Linked DNA regions of Drosophila melanogaster. The protein of the gene in region 1 interacts with the protein of each later gene in a pairwise test. Each region holds a gene or a part of one and is shown on either strand. Other genes may lie near its edges.

Region 1 (4,810 bases):
CAACAAGAGCTATTTTGATTATTGCTTTATTTCGAATTTTGCTGATGAATACGAATTGCATCCACGACATATCCTAGACAAATTATCTAAGAGAAAGCTCAAACATGAACATTAAGCTACATATAAGAATCAAAAGAATGCCTTAAAAATAACAATCTGTTTCATATCGAATCTCTCCCACAATAAAGCAACTTTGACGTCTTTTTGGCGCTTTAATATACAATTAATTCACATTCACGATAGTTGCTCACATCCTTTCAATCACTTTGTGCAGAAGCAGCCGGCAGTTACGGTGACCGTTTTGAACTGCCAAGGTTGATCCTTGTTCATCCACGAATAGGGGTGATCGGACTGAGAGGTCTGTGCCAGGACCTTTACCTTATATTCCAGTGGCCTGCAATTGGATCCATGCGAGCACTTGGCCAGATCCCGACCAGCGCCCGATTCGCAAACGGCATTCATCAGAAAGCGAGGGAAGTGCAGACCACCCAGATCCACGAGCTCATTCTGGGAATAACAAAATAATTATAAACATCTGACGCGGCTGAATGGTATCCCAACGAACCGTAACTTTGCAGTCGCAGCCTGCGGAATGGACATCATTGCGTTTGGTGGTCACCAGATCCTCATAGAAATCGTTATAGTACATGGGCGGCAGCTGATGGGGCATGACCATCGCCATCTCTGTGGGATGTGGAGTGCTGGGACTGAATCCGAATAGGGCACTGAGCATTTTCGATGTACTGCGATCGGGCTGCTGCTCCTCCGCGCGGTGTTCCAGACTCCTTAGACCCACCATCTCGTCCAAACCTTCATCGCTGGCGTACTGACTGGCGATTCCTTTATTTGTCAGGCTAAGCAGCGCCATTGCCATAATGGAAATGGGCAACTTGGAACGGAAGGGTTTTAAAATGAATTCAGTTCGGAGTATATCCTTGTGCGCCCTCCTTTGTAATTTCGTTTCTATATCTTTCGGCTCTCATCCAGATGAAACTTACCCACGGCATCATGCTCGATCTGTGCCTGACCAGCGCTGTACTCCTTCTGCAGCTCTGGCCAAGGAGTCGCCATACTTTTATATCCATTTAGGACAAAAGCCGCCTCTCGGATTACCTTTTGTGCCAGAGATGAGAGCAGCAGCATCCATTACGGTTCGTCACCTGGACAGGATGGAACAATGGACTCCACAGTTGACACCACAACAATGGCAAGCCATGCCAAGCTCAAGTGGCCCGGCTGATGGGGTTGAGTCCCTCGGCTATTTATACTCCTCTGCTGCTTTCAATGCTTCAATGGGGGAAATGGCTTTAAGGCCTCAAGTGCCGGCAGAGGTGGAGAACTTTGGGCGGTGGGAGTAGCCAAAAGAAGCCCACTGACCCAGACATGTGTGCAGAGGCAAAGGGCAATCCGATCTCCTCCCATCGATAACGTTGACCAGGGTGGGTTTCTGGATTTTTGGTTTCCGAAACGGCTCCGAAACTTTTTCCATAGCATACTTTTGAGTGAGGAGCTGTGGGAAATGCAATTCCGATTGTATTTTACTTGTCGGATTTCCCCCAAATGGATGACATTTCCGTTTCATGGTCTTGTTTAAAGAATATTGTTTTTATAATGTGCAAAGGCAGATGAATGGTAAAAATAGTGGTTTATAGTCTTATGTAGAATTCTTAAACATTTTCCAGCTATGCACATCCTCCGAAGGCACCATGAGTTGCCATAAATTATGAGCTCACTATGTCTCCCACTTGGGCCAGTTTGGGTGAGGAGCACCGCCACTGGCATAACAAGCCCGGCTAGAACGACTGTCCAAGAGGCTAGACCGGGTCAGACCTCTTAGGCACATAGTATATACCCCTGTTCGTAGGGAGCCCGCGAGTGTGCGAGTGCCAGTGGACTGTGGTCGACTTCTACGGCTTCTGTCGACGGACAGCACGCACTGTCACTGTTCCCCGTGGAAATCCAAAATCCTCCTCAGTCGAATTCGCGTCGTCGAGGCAAGAACAGTGCCCGTGCCACAAGGTTGGACATGCACAGCTGGACAATCTGACATCGCTTAGCCATCAGCAGCTACATAGGTTCGAGCAAGGGAAGTCGGGACTTGGAATCGGAATCAGAATAAAAAACCAGGAGCGGAGGAGATGCAGATTCCGCTGGTGGGCGACTTATGCTGAGCTCCGCAGCTGCCTGTCTCCAAAGACTTCATCCGTGCTTTCGCCGTTGTTGTTGTGCAGTTTTTCCGCCGTGGAATTTGTCGAAGCGGAAAAGCGAGAAGAAGCAGCGACGCGAAGCCCTCGAAGTGTCGACGAAAATCGTTAAAAAATAGAAAAACACACGGCGACTATGTCACGACGCGCTTGAAGAGCCCCATCCTCGCTGAGGGAGATATTGAGATTGAGCGGGATCCACACCTCAGTGGCCACTACTCGCCACCCACTCCGCCAACGTCAACGTTCACCAACAGGAAGCTCAGGATTCGCATGGACAAAGGCACAATGAAGCGCAAGCAGCGGAGATACAGGTATAGCAGATACATTCGAAATGTACATATATCGCGGTATAAATCCAAAAACTGGACTAGTTTCATAAGTATCTACTAAAGCTATAGGTGCACTAACACTAGTTTTCCTAATGATCCGCAGAACCACATTTAACACACTGCAACTGCAGGAGCTGGAAAGGGCGTTCCAGCGGACACACTATCCGGACGTGTTTTTCCGAGAGGAGCTGGCCGTGAGGATCGATTTGACGGAGGCGAGGGTGCAGGTGTGGTTCCAGAACCGGCGGGCCAAGTGGCGCAAGCAGGAGAAGATCGGTGGGCTTGGCGGAGATTATAAGGAGGGTGCGTTGGATCTCGACGTGTCCTACGACGACAGCGCCGTCCTGGGCCAACTGGATAGTGCGCTGGGTAAGAAAGGATATCTCTGTTACCTATCAACCCATCGCTAGTAATGACCCATATTGATTTCAGGCGGCGGTGGAACTCTATTGCCGGACACCCCACCGCAATCCTCGAACTCCCTTGATAACGAACTTAAGGCCTCCTACGGCACGGGGGCCATGTCGCCCTCTAGGCTGTCACCGAATATATTTCTCAACCTCAACATTGACCACTTGGGACTGGAGCGGGGTGGCAGTGGCCTCTCCATGGAGTGGTCCACATATCCTCCGCAAACGCAAGCGCAGACACACCCGCAGATGGACTCCGACAATCAGCTCCAGCAGCACCCGCCTCAACAGCATGCATCCGATCCGATTCACGCCGGGAGTTCGAGTCATCACCAGCAGCAGCAGCAGCAGCACCAGCAGGAGCAGCACAATCCCCAGCTTCATCCGGGGCTTGAGTTTGCCGCCTCATTGAGTTTGGACATGACCGATGGCTCCTCCGCCTACGACGAGATGAAGTTTCTCAGCGTGGACGTGGACCAGTTCACGATCGACAGCTTCAAGGCGGACTGCATTCTGAGCATGGAGCAGTCCCAGATGCAGGCCTACGGCGGTCACTCCCAGCTGGTCGGATCATCCAATGAACTGTGCCTGGACGGGATTGGCATGTCCTCCTTTGGCATGGAAGAGGGTGAGCCCAAGTCGCCTCCCTCTCTTTTGGTGCTGGACAAGTCGCTGCCCTCTTTGAGCATAGGCGTGGAAGGAATCGCTGATCTCGTGGAGCAACTGCATCATCACCAGCATGAGGGCGGCCCAGTGGGCGGTGGTGTCATCACTGGCGATGTCATGTGAATCCAACTTAGGCGAATTCTCAGTTTCTCAGCGGTAAACTGAAGTGCGAAACCTGCTCTAGTTATATTCTTGTTTTCTAGTCAATGTTAATGTCTAAGTTCAAGACCCAACAAGGTCGCCACACTTGACTACAAATATTTGGATGGTTAACTTACAAAAATTTTAGTACTAAATACTAGTTTATCTGAAGTTGTATTACTTTAGTCCTGGAAATGTGTCTTGATAAATAGCAAAGTGGTTTACATAAAGAGAACCTGTAAGTTTATAACATTTGAAAACAACGAGAATTGTTGAAAAAGAATATTTTTCGTAGTGTACATTTGTGAATTTCGAAACATTCGAATCGAATCGAAACGAAACGGAACGGAACGGGTCCTTGACTACGAGCACGGGTACCTTTTCTGGCCAGGCTCAGCCATAGCTTCTATGGATTCCGCATGTGTGTGCCAAACAAAGGAACCCCCCCCCCCTACGCCCCTGCCACGTCCCCTACCCTCTGCACACGCCTTATTTGTGGCTCGGATTAGAGGCAAGCTAGTTGTGCGATTTGAATGGATTTCGGCTTCCAGTGCTGTTTGTTCGGCAATAACATTTGCTTTGCTTTTTAACAATTACCAAAGACCGCTCCACGCTCCTCCCTGACCTGCCCACTGGTTGGCTGTAATTTCCATTTACTCCTATTAACGAGGATTTCTGTAGCTCCTGATCCTAAGCATCCTCAACGAACAACTCCTACGCTCCATTAAGTGAAAAGCTCACAGCAGAGATGATAAATATGGTGAAATTTAATGAAATTGTCAGTTAGTTCTAAAGTACTACAATAGATATGCTATTCTCATTACACGGCGAGATCCAGATCACATGAGGGCATCTCGCTTGATTAAGACTCGTCCGGTTTGGCCAGAAAAGCTGGCTGGAATTAAGCCAGAGGCTTGAGGGGAATGGAGCGGCGAAAGGCCCGACAGAGGTAAGGATTCGATGCTGGGGGCACCCGGCTCAGCTGGCTTAACACCTTGGCGAGCTCCTTGTGGATTTTGCGAGGCCAAGGGCCACCCAGAGACATCCAGTGGCCACC
Region 2 (4,988 bases), on another chromosome or scaffold:
ACGCCGGACCAGTGCCCATGGTGGATGGCGCCTGGGAGGGATCGGCGGTGCTGGCTCACGGCAGCCTGCTGCGATTCGGTTGCCTGTCGTTTGTGTTTGTCGTGCCGTCGGTGGATCTGCTGCAGGCGCAGGCGCGCAGCAAGCGTTCGTAGAACCAGTACCCAGACTCCATCAGCAGAAGCAGCAGCCTTTAGTTTAAGCATTAAGACACAGAAACATATACGCGCTCAACCGCAGCCAACTCCAGTGGAGCAGCACCAATCTCAGTGGGGCAGCTAGCAGCCAGGCATAGGGTTAGGGTTAGCAGATACCAGTTCAACTTCATCGCATCAATCATCGCAATGCAAAGCCTCGGCAGTACTTTTAAATCACACAATCCTCCAATCCCATCCAGCATTAAGGGTATATATTTGCCTTATGACCAGTGCAATAAATACGGAGTACAAACCACGGATGTGCACGGCTGCAGGCTGATCCATGCCAGTGGGCAGTGGATCTCTGGTATCAAACGCCGTATTTATTGAATTAACCATTACGTTCATAAATCGCATAAACCCGCATCGCATACTTTACTTTTATTGTAAAAACAGATGTATAAATTGCTAAAACGAAATAAACTTGTAAGATCAGAGATTTTTTCACATGCAAATGGATCGATGGAGCCACCAATTAGCAGTAAGCCCCGCCCAATAAGTGCACATGACTTTTAGTTTCTTTTGAAATGAATGTGTTTACTTTATAACCAGATCAAATCCAACTGGTTAAGGCATTATAGAGAACGAGAAGAGTATACACAATAGGTGCCAGGCGGCGGGACGCCTTGACTTTGTGGAGTACACGAAACGTCGGATAAGTACATTCGGTATGGCTAATATGCAAAAAATATATATGTATATATTTGTAATTGTAAAGATCTAAGACTACGCATGCACCGCGTCCAGGTGCCGGCTGCCATCCTAGAGTGCGGCCGCAGGACCCGGCTGAGCCTGTGCCTGTGACGGGTTGGTGTGCTGCATCTGCTCCTGGACGCCAGCCTTGGCCGCCGAGCGCGTGGCTCGCGATCTCTCCCATTCCGCTTTGTGCTTGCGCTTAGTGTGATGGTACATATTCGACTTGGAGCGGAATTCCGTGGGACAGAAGGCGCAGGTGTGCAGCTTGACGCCCGTGTGCGTGGCAAAGTGCTCCTGCCGCAGAAGAATTCATTATCATTAGTGGTATCCATGCAGCTGCGGATAACTGAAACAATGCAAGGCAGTGCAGTACTCACCTCCAAATATCGCTTCATCTTGAAGCTTTTGCCGCACACATCGCATGCGTACTTGGGCTTGCTCAGGCAGCGATGATTCTGGCCAGGAAGCTCACCGCAATTGGGACAAATGATCGAAACGGGTGCCGCATGGATGACAGCCTGCAGCGGAGCCGCCGGTCGTTTATCCGTCTCTGAAGGCGGGTGGTTGCTGTAAGAGATTCGTTAGTAAGCTTGCTGCTTGCTGCTTGCTGCTGGAGTATCCAATCGACTTACCCATAGGGATGCGCCATCATTGTCCCAGTTGTCGTTGTCGTCGTTGTTGTGGCACTGCTCGTTCCTACGGCCGCCGCTGCAGCCGCCGTTGCCGACATGACAGCAAAGAGTTGTTCCTGATGTTGCTGTTGCAAAAGGCTCGCACACAGACGCTGCTGCAGGCTATCCGGTTGTCCTGGCGGATTGCCCGTTAGCGAAGCGGCTGCCACGACAGCAGCGGCTACCGCATTATAATTGGCCAGTATGAGCTCGTTCTCCTTGAGCCTTTTCTGCGGCGAATCCTCGTCGCTAACATCGCTGCCCTCCGTGTGCTGGACCTTTTTGGGCGAGTGCGTCTTTCGGCGACTGGATCGATTGCGTGAGCCCCGACTACCGGATGGCGGTGTCTTGGTTATGGTGAGGTTCATGGCCTCGCTGGGTTGACTCTTGATTACCGACAGCGGCAGCTGTTGGACAGTTGGTGGCGATGGTAAAGGAGCTGCTGCGAGATTGGTGGTGGGTGTGGCAGACGAAGCAGGAGTAGCAGTAGCAGCGGGATTTACTGTGTTTCCAGGAGAAGCAGAAGATGCAGGAGCGGAAGCAAGAGCAGGAGCAGGAGCAGGGACAGGAACTAAAACTGCTGGAGCGGTCTCCTCCGGCGTCGTGTGATTCTGATTCGACTTGGCCGCATCCCGCTCTTCGCGAGCCTTTAGCCACTGCGTGGTGTGCTTGCTCTTCACATGGGTGTACATATTCGAACGGCAGCGGAAGGCCATTTCGCAGTAGGGACACGCAATGGGTCGGTCGCCGGTGTGGGTGGCTATGTGCTCCTCCAGGTAGCGGCGCATCTTAAATGACTTCTCGCAGAACATGCAGGGAAACTTATTCGCCGTTGTGGGAGTCACCACTTTGGGCTCCTCCGCCGGCTCCAGTAGCAATTGCGGTTGCGCATCCAACTGCGTTTCGCTGCCATCCTCCGACCAGTTGACATCACAATCGATAGCCAAAAACTGGCTGCACAGCGTCGTCTGCTTTAGCTCCACCAGCTTCCAGAAGTTGTGGAAGCTCTCCAGTTGCGAGCAGCACTCGGTGCAGATGCAGGTGGAGATGGCGTCGTCGCGGGAGAGCTGCGGCAGATGAGCGGTAGCATTAGGGCGAGGCGGTGGGCTAAATAATCATCAGCGAATACTCACGCAGAGGTACAAGTGAATCGAGATCAGTTGGACCAGGTAGCTCTCTGGCATCGCCTTGCCGTCGTCCTCGTCATCCGGTGCGGGCGCACTGGCTCCGCCGGCGCCGTCGAACAGTAGCACCGCGCTCTGCTCGTCGAGCGCGTTCAGACACAGGCGACAGATCATTTTATTCCGCTTTAAAATATACAATTTTTTTACTTTATTCCATTGGTTTGTGTTCTTCACACGGGCACGGTCACACTTTCACCTAGCGATGGCATTTCGTCCCAATTCAACGCCTATCGATGTGCCAATCGTTACGTGACGTTGGCGCAGGTCGTACTTAACGTTACGTCACGTAACGGAAAAGCGTTAATTCAAATTGCACTTATTTTTGAATTTAAACTTGCTTTATAAAGTTAAATTTCTGTACTTTATATAATAACTTAAAACTTATTGCACTTGAGATTAAGAAAAAATATTAAACTTAGTGGAATATATTGCGTTAGAAAGTATTATTTAGTCAACTGAGTGGTAAATGAAGACTCATGATTGATGTTCCAGGATGCATGAAGAAATATTTGATTGAAGTGGCTCTCAACTAGTGTGTTGCAATTATGCTAAGTTGCGAAGCCAGCAAAACCCTATTTTTCGACCGATCGCCGGTTGCACAATGTCCAATGATTTCTTTTTTTTTTGCGATGAGTGGAGTGTTTGAAGCTTTTGGCGCTTTGCTTTTAGCCTTATCTGAAAAAAAGCATGTATCATTCTTTGCTTTGCAACGAAATGCAACCGATTTGCATGACTTGATGATGCTGCGACCGCAATTAGCAGGCAGTGCTAAAATTCTAACTAATTGATTTGCAAAATGATGCAAACAAAGTTGGCAAACAGCAAGTGCATTATTGCTAAATGCACTTTGCCGTGATTGGCACTCTGGCCAATCGGAATTTTTAATATTCATACACTAAAAACGATTAGTTTTGGGAACAAAGTGCATGTATTTAGTTCAATATAAGGCTGAATATATTTCTCTCAGTGCACCACCCTGCAGCTAAGGTCGCCGCAAAGCGCCAAGAATGTAGCTTACCATTCACATGACCATAATTTCTAACTCCACGCTTGTGAATCTCACATCGTACGTTGACCATTTTAAATTGTCAGTTAGCACTTTTTTGTTGTTGTTGTACCAAACCTCTGACTTGGGCATTGTTTTAAAGCATTTTATGGGTCGGTTAAGTTCCATTTTCAAGGGCAGTCAGCTGTTTTCAAGACACATAAATGTGAACTTGTGCGTGTTTTTGCTGCGTTTGCTTTCGGCTTAATAAGTTTACAGCTGCATTTAATTGGTACAGTCATGCTTCCGTAATTTGAAACCTGATTAAAGTTACTTTTTACTTGAAAATTTGGCTTAACACACATACTTTGTTGTGTCCACGCGGCGTATGATTAATTTTGGGTTGTAACCTCAAGGGCTAAAAGTGAATTCTAAATATCTACCTATACCTATAATAAACTGCTTGGTTGTTAGTACATTTTTATACGCCACTTAAATTCAGTTACTGTATTTACAAAGGCATACATGTCGTATGCGTAATATTCTAGAATCTTCAGTTTTGGTGTCAAAATGTAAAATATTAAATTTTTTTAAGTTTTCAATTTTACTAATGCTTTTAATGTATGTAATGCAGTGAATATGTTATTTTTGAGTTTTAAGCATATGTTTTACTGTGGCACTCGCATAGTAATACATTCGAGCTTAGTGCGATGTTCTTCGTGCCATCAAGAAAAACGTACCCATATTCGCTTTCGCTTCATTTATATATATGTATATATATATTTTTTTTTTTGGTTTTCTGTTGACAGTTTTGTTTTAATTCATGTTCATGCTTTGCGGTCGCCGCCTCAGAGTGGTCGGTTGTAAATAGTTTGGCTTTTGGGCATGGGCTTGGGTTCGGACTGGGTTTAACTTGCGAAACACGTCCGAAAGAGTCGCAGCCAAGCCAGTTCAGTTGGCCAGTTCGTCCGGGAGCAGAGCAGCATAACAAGTGGAGCGCGACTTTGCCTTGCCGAAAATTGTTTGCCAATGTCGCGATAAAGCTAAAAGCCAAACAAAAACAAAGGCAAAACTGAAGAAAAAACGAGTGTAAAAAACCGTGGAAATAATGCCGCCAAACATGGCAATGGCCCAGGTTCGAGCGATGGAAAGCCGGAAAAACCGCACAGCACCCACGCAGTACGCACACGCAAAAAAAAAAGCATAGAAAAAGAAGGTAACAACACACCTGCCGGTTTTCGACCTTTTGACGCAGTAA
Region 3 (3,838 bases), on another chromosome or scaffold:
GCACGTGCGGTGTGTCGTGCACGTCCATCCCAAGGTAGTGGGAGACGTGGTGCGGACAGAAGCGGTAGCCCTGGCTGACCAGTTCCTTGTACTCGCTGAACGACTTGCCCACCAGCCCGATCTCCTGCAAGTACTTGCCCAGCTTGTAGCAGGTGGTCTCGAACAGCTGGTCGAGCGTCTCGCCGCCCGGCTTCATCACGTTGCCAATAATCTCCTCCTGCAGCTGGTGCAGCATGTCGTACAGTGTGCGCTGCGGCTCCGTGAAAACCCCACTCGCCGGCCAGGTGCGTGTGATGTCGCTGGTGTAGCCGCCATACTCGCAGCCGGCGTCCATCAGCACGAGATCCTGCTGACCCAACAACTGGCTGTTGGCCACGTAGTGGATCACCGTGGCGTTTTTACCGGCAGCCACCACCGGCGGGTAGGCCAGGTAGCTGGCGTTGCGCATGCGGCACTTGTAGTCAATCGCGGCGAACAGATGGTGCTCCGACTGACCTGGCCGGGTCTCGGCCATCACTTCGTTGAACGAGCGTGAGGCTATGTCGCAGGTGCGCCGCATTAACTGCATCTCGTCGCGGGACTTAAGCAGGCGCATGGCTTCTAGGAAAGTGTAGGCCGGCAGCAGCGGACGCTGCTGATTGCCGCTCAATCGCAGCATGTTCTCCGCCAGGGACGGCAGGTCGGTGCTCTTCTGATCGAACCAGATGTGTGGTTTTAGGGCGCCTGCGCGCTTGGCCAGCACCGCCTCCAGCTGGGACAGCGGATGGGCCTCAGTGACTCCGAAAAGCGGCACCGCGAGCTCGGGCCCAGTGCGCGGACCATCCCACAGCTCGGCATGCGGGTCCTTGGGACGCATAAACAGCTCGGACTGCACGTTCTGGGCCTCGTCGATGGTCAGCAGTAGCACGGCGTCCGGCTCTAGGCAGCCAGTTAGGTAGTAGAAGTCCGAGTTCTGGCGGAACACGTACGGGATCTTGCCGCTCATATACTTCTTGGAGGCGGCGCCCAGAACGAGCTGTCAGAGATTCAAGTTTATATATTTTGCTTCTCTTTGTAGCCTGCAGGTCCTCACCATGTGACAAGAACTCGAGTGCCCATTGAACTCGCCGCCGAAACTGCGTGCATAGGCGCGGATGTTTTGCATCAGCTGCGAACGGCGTTCCTTGATCTCGGTCAGCTCCACGCCCGGAACCAGCTCGTCCGGCTGGATAAGATGTGGATGCGAGACGCTGGTGGGCTGTCCCAGGTTTCCCTTTTGCTGGCGCAGAATCTGAGCCACGCCACGCACCTCGGCCGCGTTTACTGTCGATTTGCTGCTGGGACTTCCTGGGGAGATCGTGGTGGACTGGCTCATCCAGCGGTGTGGCCACAGGCTGGTGGAAATGGCGGCGCTGCGGCGGACGGTGGGAGCGATCAGGCGGTCCAGGCGCCTTAGGATATTCATCGTGCTGCCGGTTCCGGTTCTTGGGTTGCCAACTAAAATCTTCACAATATTATACACATCAGAAAACGGAACTGTTAAAAACACTAACGATCCTGGATAAAAACAAAACACATGGGTTGCCAGACGATTGCTTAACAAGAGTCCCGCCGATTGACAGATGTCGATAACTATCGTTGTAAAATTATACAACTATGTGAATGTAGTTTCGCCTTACCTATAGCAGCTTTCAAAAAACGCGATTCATTTCGAATTGTGTACAACCACGGCTTATATAAGCTTATGAATCCACTCAAGTACGCCAACTTGATTGCTTTCGCCCCATAGCATTTAAATATTGCGCTGCAATCGAAAAACCTCGATAGTACCGCCGCTAAGCTTTAGAAGTAATCGACATTGGCATCCCTAACATAATAACAAAAATTTTTAACAGGATCAATAGGGGGCTTTGGAACAGTATTTTCGACTTAGACAGACACTTTGAAATCATTTGACATATCTTTAGAATGTCCATGGAGGAGGTATGTGTTGGTATAGCCCAGTTCCAATGGCCAAACACTCAATGTAATCCCGTCCTGCAGTGCTTTGTGCCCCGGCTGCCGGTGGACAGCGAGTTCATCCAGTTCCACGACTGGGCCATCAAGTATGAGAAGTCGCACATCCTGAAGAGCAGCTGCCAACTGGGCACCGCCAAGTGCTGTCCCAAGGACTCGGCCGACCGCTGCGACCTCTGCCACTACCAGCACTCCCTGCAGCTGCCCCACCTGCCCGACATGGTGTTCCACAAGAATCGGCTGGTGTTACAGCACAAGGACGGCGCCACTCTCGAGTTCTGCCCCATGGACGCGCTGGCGCTGGTGGACAATGGGAAGCAGCCGCTGGAGGTCGCTTGTGCTCAGGAGTGGCGGGAAACGCGGTGGGTACTCCCATTGAGATTGGGATATGGATCGTTCTACTGTTGTTCCTCTATAAATCGCCCAAATGATTGAATTCTATACTCCAGTAACGAGCAGACAATGGAGGAGAAGTTCAAGCCTTTCGACTGGACATTCACCTCCACCTACCAGGGCACCATGAACGAAAAAGTGCGATCGGAGACCACGAATCAGACGCTGAACAAGTTCAAGCTGATGCAGCGCGAGAACATCATCTTCTACCACGATTTAACTCTGTTCGAGGATGAGCTGCACGACCACGGAATATCGGTGATGAGCGTGCGAATCGTAAGTGCTGATAAATACAAATTATAGAGCCCTTATCGAAGAAGCCCAACTCTTTCTGGCACAGCGCGTGATGCCCTCTGGCTTCTTCATCCTTTTGCGCCACTTTCTGCGCGTGGACCACGTGCTAATCCGGATGCACGACACCCGCTTCCACCACGAGATCGAGAACGACTTTATCCTGAAAGAGTACATCCATCGGGAGGCGCCTTGCACTGAGCTTCAAAACTGTGTGGCCTTCTGGACCAACCCGGATGAAATGCAAGAATTTGTGCCCGTGAAGTCCAAGCAGTTGCACAAGCTCTTCTTTAAGTAGTCCCGATGTCCGATGCTAGATGCCAGATCCCAGATCTCTAGGTTTATGTCAGTCGTCGCATTGGTTACAACTGCTGCTATATGCGTTTATTTATTGCCAACAGTGTGCGCATGCGCAGACGACATTAAAAGCGATTTTCCTAAAAGGCACACTACGATCAAAGCTATTAACACGAATAAAATATTGGGCGGACCAGCTGCCACATCCTCGGGCCTAGGCGGATCCAAGTAGGGCTGTCAGGGCCCGCTTGTAGTCACCAGAGGTCTCCGCCTGGAAAGTAAAGAAAGGAACGTATTGAAGCGAGATCCAAGTTCTTGCTTTTTTGGCTATGCCCTCTACACTACAATTACTACTTTGCCCGAAAATACTTTTTTGGCAAGCCAATAATGAGATATCGAAAAATGCCCAAGAACCAGTTTGCTTCGGCGTTCTTAGAAATAATTTGATGGGGATTTTGGCAGCATATGTAGCGTAAAAGGAACACTTGATAACGTGGAGTAACCAAGACCAGGAATACATCCGTTTCACCAATGGCGTGGCCAATACTTACGTCCTAGGACAACACAAACACCGCAACAAATGCCGACAAGTACGTGAAGAGAAGGGGAAAGGGGTGCGTTAACCATGTGCGAAGCACTCGCGATTCTTCGAGATCCACTTACCACCACGGCGCTGTGCAGCGTACGGTTGTAGATCCGCTCGAACTCCTGCTTAATGGTCTCCAGGTCGATCTCCGAGCGGCTGACGATGATGCGGATGAGCGTGGCGTCATCGGTGCCGGCGCCATTCATGGCCTTGTACAGGCGGTTGGCGAAGAAGGCCGCCGGTGACTGGACGCACTCAACTAAAAGGTTAAGAAGT

The links.
Region 2: the proteins of Pph13 (region 1) and CG12219 interact in a two-hybrid assay, tested with the Drosophila melanogaster proteins (one large-scale study listed by BioGRID).
Region 3: the proteins of Pph13 (region 1) and CG9578 interact in a two-hybrid assay, tested with the Drosophila melanogaster proteins (one large-scale study listed by BioGRID).

What each region holds. Positions count from the first base shown.
Region 1 is NT_033779.5:575,516-580,325, forward strand, and holds Pph13 (PvuII-PstI homology 13), read left to right. Parts: upstream 1-1,970; 5' UTR 1,971-2,477; coding exon 2,478-2,518; intron 2,519-2,639; coding exon 2,640-2,905; intron 2,906-2,968; coding exon 2,969-3,735; 3' UTR 3,736-4,034; downstream 4,035-4,810. Other genes in the region: Ptth (prothoracicotropic hormone), read right to left, coding at 262-507, 566-889, 999-1,085.
Region 2 is NC_004354.4:6,298,341-6,303,328, forward strand, and holds CG12219 (uncharacterized protein), read right to left. Parts: upstream 2,946-4,988; 5' UTR 2,860-2,945; coding exon 2,695-2,859; intron 2,629-2,694; coding exon 1,523-2,628; intron 1,458-1,522; coding exon 1,268-1,457; intron 1,185-1,267; coding exon 957-1,184; 3' UTR 714-956; downstream 1-713. Other genes in the region: CG3815 (uncharacterized protein), read left to right, coding at 1-152.
Region 3 is NC_004354.4:20,168,402-20,172,239, forward strand, and holds CG9578 (uncharacterized protein), read left to right. Parts: upstream 1-1,820; 5' UTR 1,821-1,947; coding exon 1,948-1,962; intron 1,963-2,022; coding exon 2,023-2,357; intron 2,358-2,444; coding exon 2,445-2,664; intron 2,665-2,728; coding exon 2,729-2,977; 3' UTR 2,978-3,125; downstream 3,126-3,838. Other genes in the region: CG9581 (uncharacterized protein), read right to left, coding at 1-1,015, 1,073-1,444; AnxB10 (annexin B10), read right to left, coding at 3,191-3,247, 3,528-3,530, 3,640-3,821.